3 linked regions of the Notamacropus eugenii genome follow. The protein of the gene in region 2 interacts with the protein of the main gene of each other region in a pairwise test. Links are inferred from orthologs where the notes say so. Each region holds a gene or a part of one and is shown on either strand. Other genes may lie near its edges. The genes, in order: SFTPC, TMEM79 and SLN.

Region 1 (8,254 bases), on a different chromosome or scaffold from region 2:
ACCTTTTTCAAACTCGGGGACCACGCAGGATCTCTTCTGTCCCCTTGGCAGCTCAAAACCTAGAAAGCAAAGACACTGGTTACCAAGGGAGGAGGTTACCCTGAGAGCCAGCATATAGAGCTCTGGACTTGGACCTAGGTTCAGGTATTTACTAGCCATGTCACTCTCAGCAAGTTATTGAACCTCTCTGTGTCTCAGTTTCCTCATCTGTAAAATGAGGGAGTTAGACTTAATGACTTCTAAGATTCCTTTCCAGAGGAAGGAGAGTGGATGAGACTCTCAACTCTCCTGCCCACCCCCACTTCGGAGCTTTCCTGAGTAAGATCCACCTCCTCCACCCCCTCCAGTTCTCCCCAGTATGGTTCATCTGAGTTCAGTGCCCCTTGGCAGACACAGACATAATGTCATCCTTTCCACAGTTCCCTTGGTTCAACTTAGCAGTACCCTCCAAGAACGTTGCCTCTATTCCCTTGCTCACCAGATGGTCCCTAAATGTAGTACGGAGGAACCTCGCCACAAAGGACATTCATAGTAGTGCCCAGGAAGGCTGGGTCCACCTGGGACTCTGAGCTGGCATGGGAGTCCTCCTCATGATCCAGTTTAGCAGTAGGCAAAGAAGGTTTAGCCTAAAAAACAAAAACAAAAACAAAAAAAAAAAATAGACATTCCCGCAAGGGTGGAGAATGATTGATATCAGATACAAATACCTAGAGTGTGTAATGAAAATGTGGAGCACCACTCACCAGGTGACTCTGAAATTTTCGGGTGATGACATCTAGACTGGGGATATCCTCTGGAGTCATTTGAGTGATGTAACAGGTGGCACCCAGGGCAGGCTTGTATGCAATTAAGAGCTGAGCATGGAAGGGAAAAAATTGAAGAAAGTTTCTTCCTACACACAACCTCACCCTCAATCCAGATCTGGGTTTTGAGGGTTCAGAGCTTCAGTCTCCATCTAGTGGATTGTGAGAAACAGCATTTGGAGTCTGCTGATCTTTTGGGAGCTAAGAGCTCAAGGAAGGTCAGGTGACCACCACAGGATGAAGTGTGGAGGAGTGCACAAAGGTAGAGGCTGGTGTTCAGGCATGTTTGTACCTAAGCTAAATCCCAAACATGCTCAAGAGATATGGGAACCCCACCTTCCACTCAATCTGGTGATTGACTTACCCCACCCTCACCCCCCCACACCTAACACCAGCCCTGCGGCATCTCTTGCATACCCGATAGTAATCATAGACCACAGTGCCAGAGGAGCCAACGGAGAAGGTAGAGACAGTTCCCTCTTGCCTGCTGAGGGCCAGGCGCTGCTGGGCATCTGGCCCCCCAATGCTCATCTCCAGAACCTAGAGAATTGGATGCCCTCTGTCAGTTCCGCCAAGACCTCCTCTCATTTCAGGTGGGCTTATTCCTCTTTTATCCTTTCAGTGTCCTTACCCAATTCCAAGAACTTTTCCCAAGTGCAGCCTCCAGCTGGTCTATGGGCAGTGCCCACCCCATTCTTGCTACCCAGACAGAATGAACTGAGTAGAGCACCTGGGCCGGTGTGGAGAGGGTTGGAGGGTACCAACTCTGATATTCTTTAATCAGGTCGAATTGGGTCTGTTCTTTCTGTGCCCTGCTTTGTGCCCATTCTCTCAGCCTTTCCAAACCCCATGCCTTCCATGATCAACCCTCTCCATAGCCCCATGATCTTCTGCTCACAGTGCCCCATCATCCCAAACCAAACTTCCCTCCCTGCCCATCCTGCCAGCCCACTCCCAAGCTGCCAGTCCCTCCAGCACCCCCTCACCATCTCTGTGTGCTTCTGACTCATGTGCAGCCCCATGAGCAGGGCCCCTAGCACCACCACCACCACCAAAACCACCACCACCACAATGATGAGCAACCGCTTGAGGTGGAGAGGGCAGCAGGGTATTCTAAATCGGCCTTGAGGGGTGACGGAGTAGTCCTGTTATGGGAAAAGGGGCCAGGGAAATCACTGTCAAAGCTGGGGGTCATGGCTGGATGACTCCTTATCCCACCCCCACTGCCACTTGGCCACTCTTGTCCATCAGCAAGGGTGCCCATTCTTTTTTTTCTTTAAAAAAAAAATTATCTTTATTCTGAATTTTAAAAACACCAGATAAAAATAGACATTTCCATACATACAGTAGAACAAAAAACAAGATTGCACACAAAACTACAGATTGCCATTATACACAGCTTGCTTTTTTTTAAAGTATGTGATCAATTCAACTCATATATTTCAAAGCTGTCCTGCTTGTCTGTGCTTCTTTCTGTTTTCCCTTCTGTTCTTTAATCTGTATTTTTACAAAAGATCTTTTAATGTCTCTCTTTTTTTCTTTTCTTTCTTTTTCTATTCTTTTCTTTCTTTTTGATTTTTTGCTATCCTATCCCTGAGGTTGCCCACTCTTTTACCCTGCATAAACAAACTCCTAAAGATATCTCCTAGTGTCAATTAACCAATTACCAAGAATTTATCACTTTCCTGTTATGTGCTATACTTCTAGGTCCTGAAAAGTATAAAAAGGAGGCAGAAAACAGAATCTCTGTAGTCAAGTAATCCAGCTGAGAACATACACATATACACCCCACACACACACACACACACACACACACACACACACACAGATAACTATAAACATTCAGTGACCAGAGATTGTCCCAGTTAGAAAGCGGTAAAGGAATTGAGAGAATGAAAAAAGTTAAGGGAGAGTAATCAGGGAGGGGTTTCAAGGAGGAGATAGGACTTGACTTGGGCCGTGAAGGCCAGGTAGGAGTCAGACAGGTGAGAAGAGCCCTACACCTAGACATATATTCCCTGTGTCTCCACCCCTGGCTGCCCCAGGCTAACACCTGTGCCAGGCTTCTGGGGACAAATGTACATGAAACACTTAGCCTAGGGTATGGGTTAGTGGGTGTTGGTGGAGAGCCCTCAGTCCCATTATACCATGGCTTCCTGGCTGGGGGCCCTTTCTCATCCTCTTACCGGTGGTGGCAGTGCACTCTCCATCAGAGCCTCTTTGGTGCTCATATCCATGTTGCTTTGGGCTCTTTGCCTTCCTCACACCTCCAGCCTTCTAGTCCCCGGACCTTATATATTACAGCACACAATGGAGGTGGTGTGGCAGGCCCTTAGCTTTGAATCCTGTTTGTTCCTAACCCTCCAGAATCAAAGCCTCTGATAATTTAGAGTTTGAGTGCCTAAGAGCTCTCATCCTGGGACACAAAAACCCTCGTGGGCATTGCAAACCATCTCCAAGTTCAAGCTGAGTAAAAGGAGCCTTAAGTAATGTGCTTCACCTGCCATGAGTGTCTCTTTTATTGTTTCTACCCTTCCTGTTGGAAACTGCCCCTGTTCTTCAGCCTTTGGGGCATTGCCCTATTCTTTTTTTACAGAGACTTGGGCAACAGGGTCCCTGGCACAGTTGGATTCCTATAATTTCCTCTATTTGTTCTTCTCCTATATGAACTTGCAAGGGCTTTGCTCCAGAAACAGAGTCCTTAAGGCAGGTGTGGGGAACTTGCAGCCTCAAGGCCACATATGAGTCCTCAAGTGTGGCCCTTTATTTAACTGAACCAAACTTCACAGAACAAATCCCTTTAATAAAAGGATTTGTTCTGTGAAACTTGGACTCAGTCAAAAGGCCACATGCAAGGACCTAGAAGGCCACATGTGGCCTCGAGGCTGCAGGTTCCCCACCCCTGCCCTAAGGGAAGCAGCACTCACAATTGCTACTGGGTGCAGGGGTGTTACTGTGGCCTTAGGCTGATTGCAAAGGTTTCAGCCAAAAGACGAATTCCCCACATAGGTTCGGTTCTCCCCCTCCACCATACCTACTCCCTGTTTCCCCTCCCTTGACTTTACTGAGTCATTCAGCACTGAGCTTTTCCTATAGTAATGAAGGCACCCACATGTAATAGAAAGAGCCCTGAATTTGGAGTTGCAAGATCTGGGTTTGAAACCTTCCTTTGCTACTTACTTCCAGTGTGACCTTGGGCCAGTGACTTCCCTTCTCTGGGCCTCAGTGCTAAGACTGGATGCAATCTAAGGTCTGAATCCTATCATCCTTGGAATCCAAATGTTCCTTCCTACTCTTTAAGACTTCAAATTCCCTTTGAGTAGAGAACTGACTGATACACCATCTTTTACCATTTGTCATATGTTACTCTTGGTTCCCCAACTAGACTACGAGCCATCTAAACAATCCCTTGAAGAAAAGATTATGTAAAGGGCTCTCCTCCAAGCCCTATGAGCTACAACACAGTTAAAATTATCCTCATTTTGCAAAAGAGGAAACTAAGGCTCAAATGGGTGCTGTGGTAGTAGAAGTAGCAGTATCAGTAGTGATGGTGGTAGTAGTAGCAATAGCAGTGGTAGTAGCAGCAGCAGTAGTAGAAGTAGTAGTAGCAACAACAGCAAGTGGTGATAGTAGTAGCAGTAGCATCAGTAGCAGTTGTAGTGATAGTAGTAGTGGCAGTGGCTGTAATAATAGTAGTGGTGGTGGTAGAAGCCGTAGTGGTAGCAGTAGCAGAAGAAGCAGTTGTGACAGCAACAGTGTCAATAGCTAGCATTTATACAACACTTTAAGGTTTGCAAAGTACATGTTTCATTTTATCTTCATAGCATAAACATTGTTTCATTTTATCTTCCCAGCAATCCTGAGAAGCAGGTACAATTATTACCCCCATTTTTAGAGGAGGAAATGGAGGCAGACAGCAGCTAAGTGACTTGCCCAGGATCACACAGCTAGTAAATGTCTGAAGCAGATTCTGTGCCCAGCGCTCTATCCACTGAGCCGCCTGACACCCAATTAGTAAATATCAGAGCCAGGACTCACACTCATGTCTTCTGACTTTAAGTCTGCCACTGCTTCTACCATCTCAGGCTCTCTTTCTCAGATCCCATCTCATACATCTAATGTTAGAGGGGCACAACTTATCCCATGTCTGTTATGCTATGTGCTTAAGAGGGTATGAAGGAGGGAAAAGACAGAATCTCTGCCCTCCAGGAGCCCAGCTTGGAGGGAACACACAACACACACACACACACACACACACACACACACACAGAGATAACTCTCAACATGCAACAGCATCAACGATTGTCTGATTACCCCAGTCAGTAAGCCGTAAAGGAGTTGGGAGGAGGGTGAAATCGTCAGGGGATAGTCATCAGGGCTGTCTCCGTGAAGGAGGTGGGCCTTGAAGGATGGCTAGGAGTCAAACTAGTGGGGAGAGCCCTCCATTAACCTACAGGACACCTGTCTCCCCACCCCTCTGGCTGCCCAGGCCAGGGTTCGCAGTGGGTTGTTCTAGCCTCTGGCACAGGTTTGTGGTGAAGCTAAGGGAATCAGAAAGCCCTCGATTCTAATTCTGCTTACCAGCTGCTTTATCATGAGCAAATTACTTACCCTGAGTGTCAATTTCTTCATTTGTGAAATGAAGATCATAACAGCACCCACCTCATGGGGTTATTATGAGGCACAAAAGTGACAAGTACTTTGCAAACCTTAGAGCACTATATTAATGTGAGCAATTATTTTTATGTTTCCGTATCCCCCAAGAACACCTAGCACAGGAGACTGATTGACTGGTATGATCCTCTCTTCTAAGTCACCACCTAGCCTTCCTTTTCCGGGGTGACTAGTCTCCTGTCACTCCATCTCCATTCTCCCCCTAGATTCCTCTGCATATTTTCCCTAATTCTAAACTTGTCCCTCCCAACTCCCCCCTCACCTCTTTTTTTCTGATATCTTCAACTGCTTCCCAGCTATCCAATTTTCCAAATGCCAGGCCTTTTCCCCAATTCCTATCCCTTATCTTCCCTAATCCAACTATTACTGGATTCTTTTTAAATTTAAAAATTGACACCTTGTTCCCTTGGCTTCACATGCACATGTCTCCCCTACCTATGACCCACAACTAGAGTATACTCAGGCCCTAGAAATTGTGCAACTAATTGGATTCCTGGCCCCTGAGAGGGCCTAAGAGGTTTCAGAAAGGTTTCAAAGGAGAGGAAGAAGAAGAGGGAGAGATTGTTTGCTCCTTACCCCCAACCCTCCAACTGCCCCTTTAAATATTTGCCCAAGTCTCTAGTTAGAAAAATGTCTCAGGAGAAGGTTGAGGGCAGGAGGAGGGGGAGTTAGAAGGGAGAAAAAATGGAGGAAGAAAAAAGAAATCCTAGCCTCATACTCCCTGCCTTCCCAATAATGCTGCTTCAGCCACGTCCAGGTGCAAGAGACTGGGAGCCTGCCTGCCTGCAGTGCCCACCCTTGCCAGCTCCCTGGGGCCTCTTCCCCTAGTTGTCCTGGCAACATCGGAATTGATCAGCTGACTCACGGGCACTGGGCTGGAGCCAGGTGGGGCACTGGGCCAACTGGAAAGCCAAGGAGAACCAAAGGCATCTCGGGGACCCTGTGGGCATCTCTAGGGGCTGGAGGGCCTTGACCTAGGGAGTGTCTTGAACTAGGGAGTGTCTTGAACTTTGCAATTGTGCAGAAGCTTGTTCTCAGGAGATCTAGTCAGATCTCAAGGTGTGGGGGGAGGGAGTTTGTAGCATAAATTATTAGACTGTGAATTTATTGTCCTGAATCTTTCACATTGCTGGAGGACTCTGGGCAAGTCTCTGCCCCATCCGGGTCATTATTCTCCTTCTCATGGAATCCTGGCTCTGCATTTACTATCCCTGGGACCTTGGGCAAGTAATTCATTCGACCTTTCTGAGCTCTTGTATTTTCATCTATAGGATGCAGAGTTTTAGACTAAATAAACTATAAGATTACTTCTTCCTCTAAATCCTACCTTCTTCCTCTCAAGGCTTCAGATGAACAGGAGGTATCACAAACTCTCAAATCCACTACCTTTTAGGGGTAGTTATGGGGAGAAGGTGATGGAAAATTTTCCTTTGGCTAGAATAGAAAACAGATGGAAAGACTATTTTCCTCTTTCTCTGAGAATAGCCACCAACATGTTAATGGGTTTGAAGATTTCTGGGGGACTGATGAAAAGAATTCCCTGCTAACATTCATGGTTCTATATAATCTTCACCCAGCCTATCTTTATCCCCTATTATGAACTTCATTCTTCAGCCATCTTTTATTCTCTTCATCATATCTTGAATCCGACCCATCCTTCAAGACCTGAGTAAAAAACTCCCCTTCCCAGAAAAGCCTTTCCAATCAATTCCAAACCACAGGAATGAACTACTAGTATTCATGTACCATTGATGGTGGCACTGTTTACTGCTTTGTATTTTCAGTTATCTTTCCATGTATGTTAATCTTGGCTCTCTAGTTAGACCAATGACCTCCTAGAGAGTAGGACAATCTTTGACTTGTTCATCAAGCTATAGTATACTCCCTTGCATATGATGGGTGTTTACAAACACTCCCTCAATAGATGAATGTTTGATAGATTGACAACTGATTGAAACAACTGATTGAAAGGGGACAACCTGAATCTCAGACGTTATTTCTGTAATAGTGTTGATAGTCTATTATTTCAGATCTAGGTCCCAAGGAGTACCATTACTCTACATGAAGAGTTCTTAACCTAGTGTCCACAGATCCCCAAAGAATGCTTGAATAGAGTTCAGGGGGTCTGTGAACTCAGATGGGAGGAAGACTATTACATCTTTATTTTTGCTAACTTTTGGGTTCCTTTGTAATCTTATATGTTTTATTTAATACATTTTAAGACATTATTCTGAGAATGGGTTCACAGGCTCCACCAGATTTCCATAGAGAACCATGACCCAAAGTGATTCATCTCTTTCTCTAGAATTGAATCTTTTGCCTATCTTTATAGTGACATTCTCTATGTTCTCTCTGGGATGGAAAGAGTCAAGGTCCCCACTTTCATTTGGGTAGAGGGAGTCAGAGGCAGCATACAGGTAGTATAGTGAGAAGAATGCTGAAGCATCGAGATGCTTGAGTTCTAGTTTTGGCTATACCATTTACTAGCTGTATAAACCTGGGCAAGTCATATCACATCTCTGAGCTGGTTTCCTATGTCTTTAAACTATGATTAATACTATCTGCCTTCTCTTCCTTGGAGAGTGGGTGTGAAGATCAAATGAAAGTGAAGAAAGTGTTTTGAAGATTGTAAATTCAATACAAATGTTGGGGGGCAGGGGCTTCAGGAAAATAGGCAGACCAGCTTACTGTCAGACGTGAAGCTATGAATTGGTCTGTGAATTCTGAAAAGCAATTTGGAACTATGCCCCCAAAGTTACCAAACTGTGCATACCCCT
Region 2 (8,136 bases):
GCACATAAGAGCAAATCCATAGGAAGCTGGGGTGTGGTGAGCTTCAAAACATGGAAATGGGGTGAGAAGATGTGAAATGGAGTAGTCCAAAGGCAGAGAATAAGGAAAGGGGGGGCTTAGGATGGGAAGAGGCATAGGCTTGATATGCAGGTGGCCCTTTCAGAATTTTGATGAGTCCAGTTCCTATGCCTAGACTTCCCCACATCCCATGTCTAGACATTGCCATCACTACTCCACCCCACCCACACACTGTTACCTTCTCTGTACCAGATCAAGCTTGTTCACCCTCCTTGGAAAACTACCCCTTAACACAGGCATCCAGTGCCCCTCTGGGATGCCTATTCCCTTCCCACAAATACTCACCTAGAATTATGGGAAAGGTGGCAAAGACCCCACAGCGGAGTGTGTAGACGAGTCGAGAACTCATGGTGGGCAGCCGGGGGGCATCAAAAGGCAAGAAGGCATAAGCTCCATATAACAGGCAGGGAAAGACGATAAGAGCAGCCCCAAAAGAGGCCACAGCCCTTAACCCCTCACGGCCACAGGCTCTACAATTCCCACAGCGAGTTGGGGGCTCTACTGCTGCCTCTGCCCACTTCCGTTCAGGGGGGTCTGAACGGGAAGCCCGTGGCAGCAGAAAGGCCTGGCATTCACCCTCAACTTTTTTGTCACAGTGGACTATGAGCTCTTCTTGGGGCCTCCTCTCAATGCACTGTGGGTCAATTGGCACAAATGCTCGAGCTGCCTGCTCAGGCATCAGGTTAAGGTCTTCCTCAACTGGCTCCTCTGATTTTAGGGGCAGGTCAGCTAGAATGGGTTCTTTATCACATCCTCGCCAACCAGGGGGGTCTGGGAAAGGGGCACTGGGCTGGGGGCCAGTACCTAATGATGTCCTCACCCAGGGCAAAGTAGTAACTTCACTGCCAACCTTCTCAGTCTCATTCTCACAAGAAGCAAGCTCTTCCCCATCTTCCCCCTCTGATCTGAGTCCATTAGGGATGAGGGGCTGGGGCAAATTCTTCTCAAGGGCATCTTGCCCCTTTATCTCCAGCAGAGTCAATGTCTCGGGTTCTGTCATGCTGGGGCAAGGAAGGAACCAGATGTCTGGATTCTGGGGTATAATACTGGATTGCCGTCACCCTAGGAGGAGCAGAGAGAGAATTTGTTAAATATTTTCTTCATCCATAAGGAGAAAGGGCTTTAGGACCGGTACTAGGAGAAGGGGCTTGAGAAAATTAAGTCATTGTTCTCCTATGGTGGCCAGAGTTCCCCATACTCTCTGTAAAAGATTTTGCTCATGTCATTAAGGAGAGCACTGGAGGGAAATGGTAAGAGATATCTCTGTTTCCCTGGAAATTTAACTCAGATTCTTCCTAGTTTGAAAATTCTGTATATCTATTATTTCAATGCCCTTCTCCCCTAGATCTTAGGAAGTGTTGTGGGTAGAAAGGAAAGCAAGAATATTTCCCTGGGAAGGGGAAACTGAAATGGAGTCACATTTTGACATTAGCAGGAAAGGATGAGTCAGGGAGACAGAACTCAGACATCCCTGCTAATCCAGGTCTCTTACCTCCTTCCCTTGGTTCACAACACTGCTGTGGTCTTGGCCATGACCATCAAACATCTAAGAATGAGTGGAGGATACAGTATCTATCTTCAGTCCCTCCTTCTGCCTATCACCCCAAGGTCCAGGACACTCACTCCCCTCACATCAATCTTGTGCCCCTGCTCCTGCTAAGGATCTCTCTGGAGATTCAGATAGCCATACCCTCTCTTTCCCCATTGAAAACTGGAGATTCCCAATCTCCTCCTTGTAAGCCTCCCGCCCCCCCCCTCCCCGGCCCCCCCACATACATCCTGTGGAAGTAAGCTGGAAACCTGAGAAGTGAACAGCACCCACAGAAAAAGCCCATGGTTAGGGTTTGGGGGGTAGGCAGAAACTCAGCCACCAGTGCAACAGCCCATTCTGTTACTTGGCCAACTTCCCATCTCACTGATAAAGTTTAAGGGTCCAACCTTTGTCCACCTGGAAAATCTATTTCCAATCACTGAACATTTCCTCCCTCCCTGTTCCTGTCTATTTTCCCTTCTCCTCTCCCTTCCTTCCTTTTCTTCCAATTCCTCACCATTGACTGTGCTGATTTCCCTCAGGGTCTCCACCTCATCCTCCCCCTCACACCCCGGCCCCATAAGCGTCCCTTACTTTCCATCTAGAGAGATAGAAGGGAGATCCCAGGACCCATCCGGGAAAAGAGCTGCTCCAGCTCCTCACTGGCTCTGCAGGTATTTCTTCGTGTCTCCCTCCCTTTACCTGCAGCTCCAAACCTGTCTGACCAGAGCAGGTGGGGCTGGGATTAAAGGGGAAGGCCCCACCCTCCCTCTTCGGAATCCTCCGACAGAAAAAAAAGAGAAAAGGTCACTGTCCCTAAGGTGTAGGTGTGGCCACATGAGGCGTGTTAAGGAGTGGTCTGTACTAGTGGATCTGGCTAGGAGAGGACACGATGAGGATTGGTTTGGACTGGTTGATATTAATGTGGAACTTGTGGGTTCTAGTCTATGAGATGGAAAAACTTGTTTCCATTTCCACACTTCCCAGACTAGGGACTGGGCTAAATCTCCAGGAAGGATGAAGGTTGGACAGCAACCAAGGGCGTCTTCCAAGAGACAAGAAATGAGAGTGAAATAAAGGATTGCTGCCCTTTCCCGAAAGTCCTTAAAAGGACTGGAGAGAACCCTGTTGTGCCGGGCTGAGTTGGGCGAAGCTAAACCGGGCTGGTCTAGTCTGAGCAAGATGACCACTGGAAATCAGGCTGGAGGTCGTGAAGCAGGAGGCTGGGAGGGAAATCAGTGGAATTAAATCTTTGGAAGGAGAGGAGAGTCTTCATCTACTTGAATCATTTTAAAAGCAGAAGAATGGACTATGTGACCACAGGAGAATAAGGTCACAGGCAGACCTCCTGCTAAACACCAGATCAGACTTAGCTTAGCTAAGCTCAGCTTCCGCCCTCTGCATCGTCTTCTGTCCTTTCCATAGGCTTTGTTAATAAAGTTTTTCGTGAAGGGTAAGAAGCTAAAAAAGCGGCCATGTTGCCCAGAGTTAGTATTGGCAGCTCCCTGCCCACCGGAAGAGATCAGATCTCGCGAGATCTGACGACAGTGGAGGTGCTGGCGCGGCGGTGCTGTTCTCGTGAGATTTGGTGGCCGGAGGAGGAGCCGTCGCGGGCAGCCGCCTCACAGCGATGGCGGCCGAGCAGGGCCGGCGACGGCGGCGGCGGCGGCTACGGCCGGAGACGGCGGCGGTGGCGGTGGGTGGCAGGCGCTTGTAATCGGGAGCCGCCCCTGGACCCGGGCACCATGAGCCAGGGCCCCCCCGCAGCGGAGAGCAGTGAGCCCGAGGCCAAGGTCCTGCATACTAAGCGGCTTTACCGGTGAGAGGGTCCGGGGCGGGAGAGGACCTGCCGGGGAGGTGGGGGGGAGAGGCACAAGGTGGGGAAGGCGGGGGAGGGGAGGGGCGGGGTGGCAAAAGGCAGGCGGGGGCGGGGCCACGTTGAAGGGGCGGGATTATCCCGGGTACAGATGGAGAAAGGGATTTTGGAGGGAGCTGGGAGGGGCGGGACTTTCGAGCTCGGGTTAGGGTCTAAGAGTTGGAGTTGGGGTGGGAAGTGGGTTGGACACGTGGAGAAATGTGCGGTGGCCTCGCGGTTGGGATTGAGTTCCCCGGACGAGTTGGAGTTAGAAGATAAAAATAGAGCTTGAGAAGTGTTGGTGACAGTGAGATCTTTGGCATTCCTTGGGTGGGAAGGAAGGGGGGTGGGGGGAGGCCTTCAGCCTGCAAGAGAAAACTCAGGAAAAGGGAAGGGACCCAGTGGGGAGGGATCGTGGAAGTCTGGAGGCACAGCATGGGTCTAGGAGCTGAAAGGCTGACCCTGTATTGGACACGGGCTTTAGGGAGGTGTAAGGAGTGGTTGATGGGTGTGCTGTCCGGGGACCTGGAGTCTCAGCCTGGTGGCTCATTCCACATACTTTATGCCTTCTCTCTGATTTATAACGTGCCACACCTCGTGGGTCATGACTTTAGTCCTTTTTTTGGAGCAGGATGGCCTCCTCACTCAAGTGAGTGGTCCTAGGGAGATGGGGAGGGGAGGTTGGCAGAATCTTTCATCCCATAAGTGGGTTCCCTTTGGGATCGTGGCATATGCTGCATTTAAGCTTTCCATTCCTAAGCTAGGATTGGTCTTTGCATTTGGCTCCAGCTTGGGGGCTTAGGACAGGAGAAGGCAACTCCTCATATTCTCAGGCTGCATCCCAGAAGGGAAAGAGCCAAAGCTTACTGTGTCTTCTTCAGCAAGTGGGCATTGTGCCTGTTTCAGCTGTGCCAGCCAGAGGGCATGGGGAGATACAAGCTGCTCCAAAAATAGTCCAGCTATCAAATTCAGCAGCCCGAAGGCTCCCACCTTGAGCTGCCCCTCATCTGTCCCTGGATGCATGAAGAGCAGGCTGGGGGTGACACGTGTGTCTCTTCAGTGCTGCCGGGTGTCACTGCTGCCTGTCGCACAAAGCGTGGGCAGGCACTGGGCGAGATTTCTCTCTAATCTCCTGCACCTGGTAGTTGTTCTGACCCTCCTCTGAATCATCTCAGAATCTAGTCCCTTCTAAAAACCACCACTTTGAAATGCTTAAAACCTGGTGTGTTGATACATGCATGTACAGATGTTGGAATTCTCTCTTTGTGCATGGCTTCAGGCATGAGATGTGAGCCATCTAATCACTTGTCATTATTATGTATATGTAGCAAAGGCATTTGGCAGAAGAGAACTGGGGGTAAGGTGTCTTTTTGATTTCTGTATCTAGAGAACGGATTCCATGAATAAGTGTAGGACCTGTATCTAGAGAGATACAATAAGGAGCTATCCCAGTCTTTCTGTGAGTGATTGAGTAAGCAGGGAAAGGGATATTGGAAGTTACAGGGTTACCACATCAGGGGATTCTTTTCTTTTCATACATATACTCACATACTCTTCCCTCCCCCCACCAAACTGTTAATCAGGAAGCATTTTTGAAGTGCTTACCTTGTGCCTGGCAATGTGCTGTGTCCTGAGGAGGCAAAAAAAACAAACTGCTTTCAGGGATCTTAGATTCTAATGGAGGAATGACATAAATAAATATAGAGAAGATGCATATGTGCAAAGGAGAAACGAGATAACCTTAAAGTGGAAGGTACCAGCAGCTGGGGGAAACCAGGAAAGGCTTCCTTCAAAGTGTTTGAGCTGAGTCTTGACCCAAGCCGAGATTCTGAGAGGCAGAAGTGAGAAAGGAGAGCATTCTACACCTGGGAAATAGCCAGTGCAAAGTCACAGAGATGAAGAGGTAGCATGCATCAGGAACAGCAAATAGGCCAGTCTGGCTGGACCACAGAATCTGTGAAGAGGGTAATATGTAAAAAAGATTAAAAATGTGGGAAGGAGGCAGAGAGTTTTAAATGCCTAAAAGGATTTTATATTTCATCCTAGAGGGGATAAGGAGTTGCTGAAGTTTATTGAATAGTCAGGTGATGTAGTCAGATTGTCACTTTAGGAAAATCACTTTGGCAGCTGGGAAATGGATTAGACTAAGGGGAGACTTGAGGGAGAGAAACCATTTAGAGGGTCATTGCAGTAATCCAGGCAAGAGTTTTTCAGCACCTAAATTTCTGTAGTGGCTTTGTGAGTGGAGAGGACATATCAAGTACATGTGATAACTAACACATCATGTGTAGAATGTGAGGAATTGAGAATTGCACTAATTGTGCAAATGTAGGTGACTGATAGGATGATTTGGAAGAGCAGTGGCTTTGGGAGCAACAACAGTGAGATTGGTTTTGGATGTACTGGGTTTGAGATTCTGTTTTGAAAGGTGCAAGGGCCAATTGGTGATAAAGAACTGGAATTCAGGAGAAAGAGACTGGTATTGGATATATAGATCTGCATAGAAATGATGATTGAGCCTCCTTGAGAGGTGATGGGATCGAAAAGTGAGAGTATAGAGAAAAAGAGAAAAGGGCCCAGGAAAGAACCCTGGGATACACAATACACACAGTGGGTAGGTGTTAGTTGTAACATGGATGAAAATCTAGCAAAGGGGAAGTGGCCACTTATTTAGGAAAGCCAAATAAGAACGTGTCAAGAAAACCCAGAGAGGAGATAGTATGTTAGAATAAAACATATATTGAGTTAGTAAGTAGTTGGGACCCTCTGGAGACAATTATTGATATAGGATGGGGTGCCTAATCCTGCTGCCAGAAGTCTGCCTGTCCCTTTCCTCGATATTAGGTACTTCTTGGATTGCCTGTGAAAAGGCCTTGATAACCATTTAGCCAGGGGCTGGCAGCTACCCTGCTGGCACTAGAATAGCTATCTAGGTGCCAGGCTACTGACAGGGAGGCAGAAGTGCTTGCTTCCACCCCAGGCAGGAGAGTAGAACTGGATCTGCTTGGGAGTCTTGACAAGGTTGGTCTTTGACCCTCCAAAGGACATAGGGGAACAGTAAAGACTGACTATGGTCCCTCCACAACTGAAAGACAAAGTAGTTGAGGTGAGAGCTGCTCTGCTTGTTAGTATAATGTCATTCCTGCGTCCTCTCCCTTCATCAGTCCTAGAGTTCCTACTCTAATGCAAAGCAAGACATTAAGAATGGCTTTTCTTTGTGGTTAAGAGATGATAAGTTTGCAAAGGATAGGTTCCAAGAATTCTTCAGTTTGAATGGTATCTCCTTTAACCTTTTTTCTAATCCTAGTTCTTTTACCCATGCCGTCCCATACTCATGGCTCAGGGTTTTTCTGTCTTGTATTTCTCTTCAGGGCAGTGGTGGAGGCTGTGCATCGGCTTGACCTCATCCTTTGCAACAAAACTGCTTACCAAGAAGTGTTCAAACCAGAGAACATTAGCCTAAGGAACAAGTAAGCTGGGGCAACTGCCAAACAACAGTTCTCAATTCTCCTTCGTTTCCATCCCTCCTCATTTACCCTGTTCTTATCCTTAGTAAGCTATGTCAAATTCAGAGATATCCTGATAGCCTAATAAGAAAGACTGTCATCTTGTTGCCCAAGATCTTTAGTTTTTTTGAAGGGCAGAAAGAGGAAACAGCTCCCAGAGTCACTTTTCTTGCTTCATCTTCAGTCTCCATATCCAGTAGATTGGAGATAGGAACCACATTTGAATCATGAGGAAGAATTGTCTATATTTCACCCTGGAGGAAAGGAGAGAAAAAGAAAAATCAGAAGAAAAGAAAACAAGATGTTAGGGAGGGGAGTTGTAGTTTATTGAAATTCTTACATGTCTTTTGGGACTTCTATTTTTTGGAATGGGGATACTCAGTATCATGTCTTTTGTGACTTCTGTTTTTTTTTGGAATGGGGATACTCAGTATCATTTTAGACTGTCTCTTAAGTGAGAGCACAGTTATCTATGTAGTAGGTGTGTTATCAAATGTCTCCTTGTAGCCAGTTCATCTCTTCAGATACCTCAGAAAACTTTCTTTCCCCAACCCCTGCCCCCTCCTAGGCTTCGTGAACTCTGTGTCAAGCTTATGTTCCTGCATCCAGTGGATTATGGGAGGAAAGCAGAGGAGCTGCTGTGGAGGAAGGTGTACTATGAGGTTATCCAGCTTATCAAGACCAACAAAAAGGTAAGAGGAGAGGTAGAGCTGGGGAAGGACAGTGAGGAGGAGCATCTAGGGAGGGGAAGAGCCAATTGAGGGCCAAAGAGGGTGGGATAGAGGAAATGGAAAAGAGTGTCCAGAGGATAGGGAAGGAACCTGTGGTAAACATAGTTGGGGATCACGAGGAAGTAGTATCATGGATTTGGAGAGTTAGGGGAGGAAGGTAAGCAGTGCTAGAGAAGAGAACTGAGGTGGAAGGGTAGGAAGATGTTCTGGTTGTGGTAAGGGTAAACTTCATCCTGGGCTTTAAGACTGTAGGCATATTCCCCCTCTGTAAGAGGCCAGGGTGGTGGGGGGCGGTGCCCTGAGCCCTTTGCTTAGCCGGCCCCTCCCCTCCCCTGATCCACCTGCCCCCCAGCACATCCACAGCCGGAGCACCTTGGAATGTGCCTACAGGACACACCTGGTTGCTGGTATTGGCTTCTACCAGCATCTCCTCCT
Region 3 (7,973 bases), on a different chromosome or scaffold from region 2:
AAAGGGTGCTGGACTTAGAGTTAGAAGTTCAAATATGAACCCTCTCTCTTGCTTCTTATGTGACCTTGGACAAGTCATGTAACTTCTTTGGGCCTCAGTTTCCTTATCTATTAAATTAGAGAATTGGGCTAAATGTCTTCTAAGATCCCTTTTTGATTTAAAACTGTGATTCCATGAACATGAAAACGGTAATGGGAAGCCCTAATGTGGCAGATGGACTGGTGCAGTGAGGTTAGAAGCTTTCCTTGGAAAGGGGAATAGCATCCAGATGGCAGATGTCATCTTTGTCAATAATCTGAATATTGAACAAACTGTTCAAGAGAGGAAAAGTGATGATAAAGATGAATAAAACATTTGTTTAAGTGGAAAGAAATGTAGAAAAACTCACTTTGATTCTGAATATATTACATATTAATTTAGCGTGGTATTTCCACATGATAGTATCTCTGTCTATTGTATCTATCAGTCTATCTATCTAATCTATCATCTATCATCTATCTATCTGTCTGTCTATCTATCTATCTATCTATCTATCTATCTATCTATCTATCTATCTATCTATACTTTTACATGAGCATATTTGGAAATATATAGATATGGACCAGACCAATCATCTTATTGATACAGAGAACTCTCAAAGAGGAAATTCCCCTCCAAATTTAGTTCCCTGCTATTTATAATCTTAGTTGTCTAGAACATTTAGAGGTAAAATGATTTGTTTAGGGTCATACATTCAGTATATCAGAGACCAGACTTGAACTCAAGTCTTCTAAGCCCCAAGACCAGCTCTCTTTTTACTACCCACACAATCTATCACATACACATAATACATATATACTTCTCTTTTCAGAGAGACTACATTTTGAAGATGTCATCTATATTCAGGGATAATCTGTTATAGCAATTTGGATAGAATAAAATCATGATTATGTGGAAACTTGACTGGTTTGTTCTGTAATATCAATAAATTAAAGTTTTGTTGAATAAAATTATATAGATGATTGTAAGAAGGATCTTTAGAGTATTTAAGAGAACAAACATCTTTCAACAACACTCAACCTCTTTATGATTCTAAATCTTTATGATTCTATACCATTTAGATATATAAAATAGATATGATGATTATCAGTTATATCTAATCATTATATGATACTCCATCTGGCATAATTCCCTCAACTCACACTGGTATTAAGCAGGTTGTGTATCCAGAAGGGAAGCTACTACTACTTTCAGAGTTCTAGGGGCAATCCTTAGGATGGTTTTGGGGAGATTCTGAGTATGGCTATCCTCTTTACAGGAGTTTTAGCTCATGAGCTCTCACTTGTGTGCTTACTTTTAATAATTAGACAGTAGAGTCAATTCCTTAGCAAAGAAAAACATTTACTGAGAGACATAACAAGAAGAAAAGTTACAAAGCATTTCCTTTAAAGCTTGGTGCATACTGTCCCACAAAGACACATACAGTCTATGAGGGAAAGAATAAGCACAATTTAAAGTACAGTGCTAGTGGAGTACATGTGTGGAGCATATGCATAGATAGCCAAGTCAACTCACCAATCTGGATCTGCTGGGTCATGATTTTTTGTTTGTGTGGTTTTGTCTGTTTTGTTTGTTTTGACTTCTGGAGGGTCCTCATGAAGTCTGCTTGTAGAGCATAGCTCTGATGATGAAAAGTTGTTTCCCTCCTCAACCGAACTGATTCCTTGCAAATCATGGTGTCTTAGATGGATAGGACAATTCACTGCTGGAATGGGTCAAGCAGGTTGCTTGGTTACTGAGCTGTCTCCTCACTGGGATCAGTGACTGCTGGGAAAGACCATGCAGCTTGCTTGGCTACTAGATCCAGCTGCTCCTTGACTGAGATGGACAGGTCATTTAGCTCCTAGGCAGCTGCTTTCAGAATGGCTTTGGTGGCTAGCGTGACCATTGAGCTTTTCACAGACCATAGCATCTCTGCTGGACAGGTCAAGTTGCTGGACACCTAACAATAGCTTTCTCATGGATAGTTACAATCTCTTACCATCTTCAGTCACAAGCTTGGCTGGGTGGTACTATACATTCTTCAGCTGGAGTGCTACAATGATCTGTTTAGCTGGAGTGCCATGAGTATCTTTCATAAAGAGTGATGACCCTTAGCTTAGGATTGGCAGGAGTCTCTCTGTGTTAACTCCTTCAGGGCTAGTACTCTAGCCTCCAGGAAAGACATAGGAGAGGTTTAACCTTTCCTATTTATTATTTCTTCCTAGTTCATGGGTGACTTCCCTCAGTGTTAATCTCTATCTTTATTTATGATGATCAGCTATATTTCCATTGGGTCTTATGTAGATAAGTAGCTGGGGGTAAAGGAATTAAAGAGATCTGTTCCTCGGGGAAAGTTACTGGTCTCACTGGTCTTTTCATAGGCAAATGAACTATTTAAGACTAATTAACCTTATGAGAAACAGACTGTTTTCCTTTGCCTCTAGAAAGGCTTCCCCTTTAGATTTCAATGTTGTGAGTCCCTTAACTTCAAAAGGGGAACAATATTACAATTTAAGGAATTGAAAACTACTAAGCAAAACTTTGTCAGTCTAGTTCTGTTTGTTCAGGGTAAAGAATTTGGAATCTAAAGATCTGAATTCAAGTCCTAGCTCTTCCATTTACCAGCAGTGTGAATTTAGGCAAATGACTTGCTTTTTCTGAGTCTTAGTGTCCTGATTTGTAGAATGGTAGGGTCCTGTTAGGTGGTGCAGTGAACAGAGAGTACCCAGCTTGAAGTCAGGAAGACACCTTCCTGAGTTCAGATCTGGCCTCAGATACTTACTAGCTGTGTAACCTGTGCAAGTCAATTAACTTTGCCTCAGTTTCCTCATCTGGAGAAGGAAATGGCAAATCACTCTGGTATCTTTGTCAAGAAAACCCCAAATGGGGTCATGCAGAGTAGGACATGATTGAAAAATGACTTTATAACAATAACAACAAAACCAAAAGTTTGCTATTGTGAGAAGAAGCCTGAACTTGGAGCTCACCCCTGAAATTTGCTAATTGTGTGGTCATGAGTAAGTCACTAAACATCTCTTGAGTCTCAGTTTCCTTGTCGGTCAAAAGGGATTCATAATTGCATCTATTTTACTCAGTTGTCCTAAGGCTCAAATGGGATAAATATGCAAAAGAAGAGAGATAGGGATTGAACTCAGTGATTTTATTGTTCTAGCAAACTACTGGAGAAAGAAACTCTGTGTACTAAAGCAGAGTGTGCAACTTTTCTGCCATTTATAGTTTTAAGAGAGTTGCCAGGGTCACTGGCAGGATAAATGATCTGCCTAACCCTCTGTACAAGAGACTGCAGTTTCTTCGTAGGTACAGTAGGGATAGTTAACATTGATATAGTCCTTTAAGTTGGCAGAACTTTTTGCAAATATTATCTCATTTTATCTTCATAACAACCCTGGGAGGTAGGGGCCACTTCAGGAAGTTGAGGGCTTCTTGGCAGCAGACCTAACGCTTTCTCCACTGCTCCACTTAGCTGCTATTATCAACCTACCCCAACTTACATTTTAGGGTTGTTGTAAGGATCAGTCAGATAATCTAAGTAACCTATAAATTACTCTCCATAGTTATTTAAGAATAATAAAAAGTATTATTTGAAGAGATGTTCTGTAATTCATAGTTCTCCCTGAAAGGCAGTTTATTGTAGTGGATAAAGGGTTGGATTTAGAATCAGAAAGATCCGGGTTTAAGTCCTTCTTCAGACCCATTCTAGCTGTGTTGACCATTTGTAGGTCATTTGACTTCTCAGTGTCCCAGGCAAAACCCTAAGATTATAAATTGTTGATCTGCATCTTGTGGAGAAAGGCGTGGGAGTTCCCTACACTGATTGAGAGGAAAACATTCTTTTTATGAATCTTGGCTGGCTTTTCTTCCAACTTACCCAACTAAGGCAGTTTTTACTTCAGAGAAATACTAATAACCTTTCTTGTTACAGAAGGCTACCAATCACTTTTTCCACAGTTGTCTTAGATTAAAATATACACTAGGGTGATGATCCACAGAGAAAATCGTAGTTGAAATATCAAGCAGCAACAGGTGCAAATGCTAGTATATTATGCTGTCTGGCCTCCAGTCAGTTCTGAAAAAGCTAAAGATGGCTTCATTCAGGACGGAGCGAGAATTTTCTAGTTCAAATAACTCAATCCTGGGTGGTACTCTCATGCTCAGTTCCATTCCTGGTGTCAGTGCTGGTGCATGACTCCCAAATGCCCATTCCAAGGCTAATCTTAATTCTTTTCTTAGTTTGTGAGTCTTAAAAACAGATCCAGCAATCCCTATTTGTTAAAACTTTTCTACAGCAGGAATTAGTGAAAGGTTAAAGGCCCTAACTTAAGGACTGCAAAAGTCAGTAGGAAACACAGCATTCTAGAGGTCTCCATGATTTTAATAACAATTGATCGCAAAGAACAGAGCTGTCCATGTGTAAGTCAGTACAACCCTCTGGCCCCCCAAAGCACAAATAGCCACCCATCTGTCCAGGTTACTCCTTGGAAATGCTTGGTTAATGACATCACTCTGATTGCCACCACCCTTGTACCCCTCCTCCCTGGGGCTGACTACTTTAGCTGCGGCTAAGAGACTGGGAGTCCAGACCGTCCTGGAAAGGCAGCAAGAGCACAGCAAAAACTCAGGACCAAGAATCAGCCCATCATTTTTCATCTCCTGGTAACGAAGAATTGCCATTTAATGTTTATGTTGAATGTCTGTATGCATGTGTGAGTGTGTAAATGAGAATGACAAAAAGTTACTGATTTTGAAAAATGTGCTTAGAGGAAATAAAGATTATACACTTAATATTCCTTATAATATCAGGTGAATAGCAATTTCAGTTTTTTCCACATGGTATGTGGTTATTTTTTCCTCTTCTCTTTTTTAGTCCCTTTATCTTTTGGAGTTTTGCCTCAAGATTATAGATGATAATCTCCTGAAAATTTCCATGCAAATGCATTGAATGTCTGTATTGCTTTACTAATCAAGGTTTTCTGAATTTCCTTTTCATTCATATTTCATGAGAGGCAGTGTGGTTCTGTGGAAAGAGCATTTGAATCTCAGATCTGCCACTTGTGTCCTTGAACAATCATTCCACTTCTCCGGGTCTCATTTCCTCCTCTACAAAATGACAGCATTAGACTAGACCTCTGAGGTTCCTTCTGGCTCCAAATCTATGAGCCTATTACCTTATTGGGGGCAGACTACACTGAGAAGCAGTAAGGTATAGTGAAAACTGTGTAGGATTCAAGGATGGAGAATGTGGATTTTATTGCTGCACCTGTGTCACTTTTGCCTCCGTTTCTTTCCCTGTAAAGTGATGGAATTGGACTAGATGACCTCTAAAGCCCCTTCCAACCCAAAATCTATGAGCCCATGATAAGACACCCAAATACAATTGGATGGTTTGGCAACAGGCACGAAGACTGTGAACTCAACTCTGGATGGGGTCTGAAAGGTGGTGAACATTGGCCTTAAGTCAATCAATCAAGAAGCATTTATTAAGCACTCACTATATGTCAGATGAGAGACAGAATAGTCTAGTACATAGAGAGCCACTAGCCCTAGAGACAGGAAGTCTTAAGTTCTATTCCTGCCTCTGACACATACTGGTTATCTGACCTTGAATAGTAATCTAAGCAACTCTCTAAGACTATAAATTGCAGAGAAAGTATCATCCTTCATTGGCAGGGGGAGTTTCCTCATCTAGGAATTCCTTATGCCATGATTAGCAGCTGTGTGGCACAGTGGATAGAGTGCTGGGCGTAGAGTCAGGAAGACTCATCTTTCTGAGTTCAAATCTGGCCTCAGACACTTACTAGCTGCGTGACCCTAGGCAAGTCATTTAACCCTGTTTGCCTCAGTTTCCTCTGCTGTGAAATAAGCTGGAGAAGGAAATGGCAAACCACTCCAGCATCTTTACTAAGAAAAACCTAAATGAGGTCAAGAAGAATTGGATATGACAGAAATGACTGAACCAAAACAGCATGTCAAGGATACTACATCTTTAGTTCCCAACTCTATGTGCCAGAAATAATGCTTAACTCTTGAAGGGAATCTGCTAAGAAATAAAAGTGTACTGTTCTGCGTCCTTACTGACTTTGCTTCATGTCCCCTAAGGTATGGTGGCTATGTAAAAATGGCCTGAGGAGTTCTTAAAAACTGTCACAGGCTGATAACCTTCAGGGCTTTTTTGTTTTTTGGGGTTTTTTTTAAATTGTTGTTTTATACTACATTTTTTTGGGCTTAATGATGAAAATACTTTAAAAATTGTTTTCAAGTACTAGATTGCAAGATGCTTTATGATGCATAACAAGTGTATTCAAGGTCATCCTCAAAGTGCAAGTAATTCTGCAGGATAAAAATCAAGATAGAAGCAGTATGTCAACCAGCCTATCAGAAGAGAATGCTCTGTAGGGAATTTACAGATATTTTGTTCTACTGAACCTGTTAATCCTGGTAGTTAGTCATCATAGCATTTCAGAGCTGGAAAGGCTCTCATGGTTGATCTGACCCCAAACCATTCTTTTAGTTTCACTATCGCACACAGTTCTGTTTACAAGGTGAGCTTGGCTGGAGTTCAGTGCTTAGACTCTTAGAATCTAGAGTTGAAAGGACCTTAAAAATCATTTCTCTAGTCTCATCTATTTTACAGGCAGGAAACAGAGGCCCAGAAAAGCAAAATGGTTTACCCAAGGTCATCCAGGCCCTCTGACATCAAATACAGTGCCCTTCCCACATCACACTGTCTCTCTTGCTAAGTGAATGATCTTTGGACAAGTTATTAAATCTCTCTTAGCCTCCATTTCCTCTACTGGAAAGCTGGGATAATACTTGCCCAGCCTGCATTATAGGGTTATCATAAGTATTAAATGAGGTAAAGTATGTCAAAATTCTCTGAAAACTATAAATTGTGCCACACATGTAAGGTATTAAAATTATTTTCTTCATCTCCAGAAAGTTCTGCTCACCCACTGCTATGTATGGTTCTGTCTTTAAAATGCCAGAATATAATGGCAGCAGATATTCAGTAGAATTACACAAAAATGTTTTTATTTGAGCCACACAACTAGCCTGCCAGGTAAGAAGGGCAGGTCCTATTCTTTATTTACAGATAAAAAATAAGGACTTTGAGAGTTAAAGTGATGTGCCTTAGGTCATGGAGTTTGTAAAATGGAATGCTGGAATTTGAACATAGATTTTCTGACTTCAAATCTAATTTTCTTTCCCTTCCATTTTTCCATCAGTTAGTTGAGTAGGAGGCAAAAAAAGTCTAATGAATATCTTAATTCAACTATTTTAAAAATAAATTTTTATTGATATCTTTTTAAACATTGTTTTACAAGTCTCCCCCCCCCCAATTCTTTATCTAATTGATTAAAAAAAACTGAACTGATTGAGATTTTTTTTTGGTGGTCTATAAAGAGAGCCATCATCATCCTGGACTTCAGAGGACCTGGATTCAAATCCTTCCTCTAACATTACCTAATTATAGCTGTCCCAATTTATTTGATTTGTGTGGAGCGACTATACAGCCATAGTGTCTGTGTCATATGTGGTTAATAAGTGATTGAATCTGATCAAATTCATAAAATGTGTTAGTATGATACTATACTTTAATACTTCTTGAGCACCCTAAAATATGTCAGGCACTGTGCTAGATGTGACATCAAGATATGACCCCTATTTTTTTTTTTGAGAAGCTTATAATCTTAACACAGCATGGCTAAAATTAGGTGGCACAAGTTCTTATTAAAATAGCAGTACATCTAAATTTAGCACTTACTCCCTAGGACTGGCTAATATGTGAGAGGTGTTTTTAGGATTATATGGATGTGATGTTTGCAGAATTGTGGACACTGGAGAAGGTGGAAAGCTTCTCTGTATTCCTGCCTTCAAATGCCATCCATAAACTTCTAAGAAAGAGATAGCATTCCCTCCAAACAATAGAAGGA

Evidence for each region.
Region 1: the proteins of TMEM79 (region 2) and SFTPC interact in binary tests that used the Homo sapiens proteins (3 or more experiments, as listed by UniProt). The two-hybrid records come from large-scale screens. The link is inferred for Notamacropus eugenii from reciprocal best matches to the Homo sapiens genes TMEM79 and SFTPC.
Region 3: the proteins of TMEM79 (region 2) and SLN interact in binary tests that used the Homo sapiens proteins (3 or more experiments, as listed by UniProt). The two-hybrid records come from large-scale screens. The link is inferred for Notamacropus eugenii from reciprocal best matches to the Homo sapiens genes TMEM79 and SLN.

The regions. Positions count from the first base shown.
Region 1 is NC_092872.1:612,486,777-612,495,030, forward strand, and holds the start of SFTPC (surfactant protein C), read right to left. Parts: upstream 3,226-8,254; 5' UTR 3,041-3,225; coding exon 2,990-3,040; intron 1,949-2,989; coding exon 1,790-1,948; intron 1,397-1,789; exon of another isoform or gene 1,344-1,396; coding exon 1,221-1,343; intron 855-1,220; coding exon 744-854; intron 627-743; coding exon 489-626; 3' UTR 479-488; intron 60-478; 3' UTR 1-59. UniProt on the Homo sapiens protein: Pulmonary surfactant associated proteins promote alveolar stability by lowering the surface tension at the air-liquid interface in the peripheral air spaces.
Region 2 is NC_092873.1:380,363,384-380,371,519, reverse strand, and holds the start of TMEM79 (transmembrane protein 79), read right to left. Parts: upstream 3,109-8,136; 5' UTR 2,204-3,108; intron 1,625-2,203; exon of another isoform or gene 1,571-1,624; intron 1,141-1,570; 5' UTR 1,079-1,140; coding exon 364-1,078; intron 1-363. Other genes in the region: nonsense-mediated mRNA decay factor SMG5, read left to right, coding at 3,355-3,428, 6,836-6,934, 7,539-7,662, 8,054-8,136.
Region 3 is NC_092876.1:147,262,720-147,270,692, forward strand, and holds the start of SLN (sarcolipin), read left to right. Parts: upstream 1-4,611; 5' UTR 4,612-4,695; intron 4,696-7,973. UniProt on the Homo sapiens protein: Reversibly inhibits the activity of ATP2A1/SERCA1 and ATP2A2/SERCA2 in sarcoplasmic reticulum by decreasing the apparent affinity of the ATPase for Ca(2+). Also inhibits the activity of ATP2A3/SERCA3.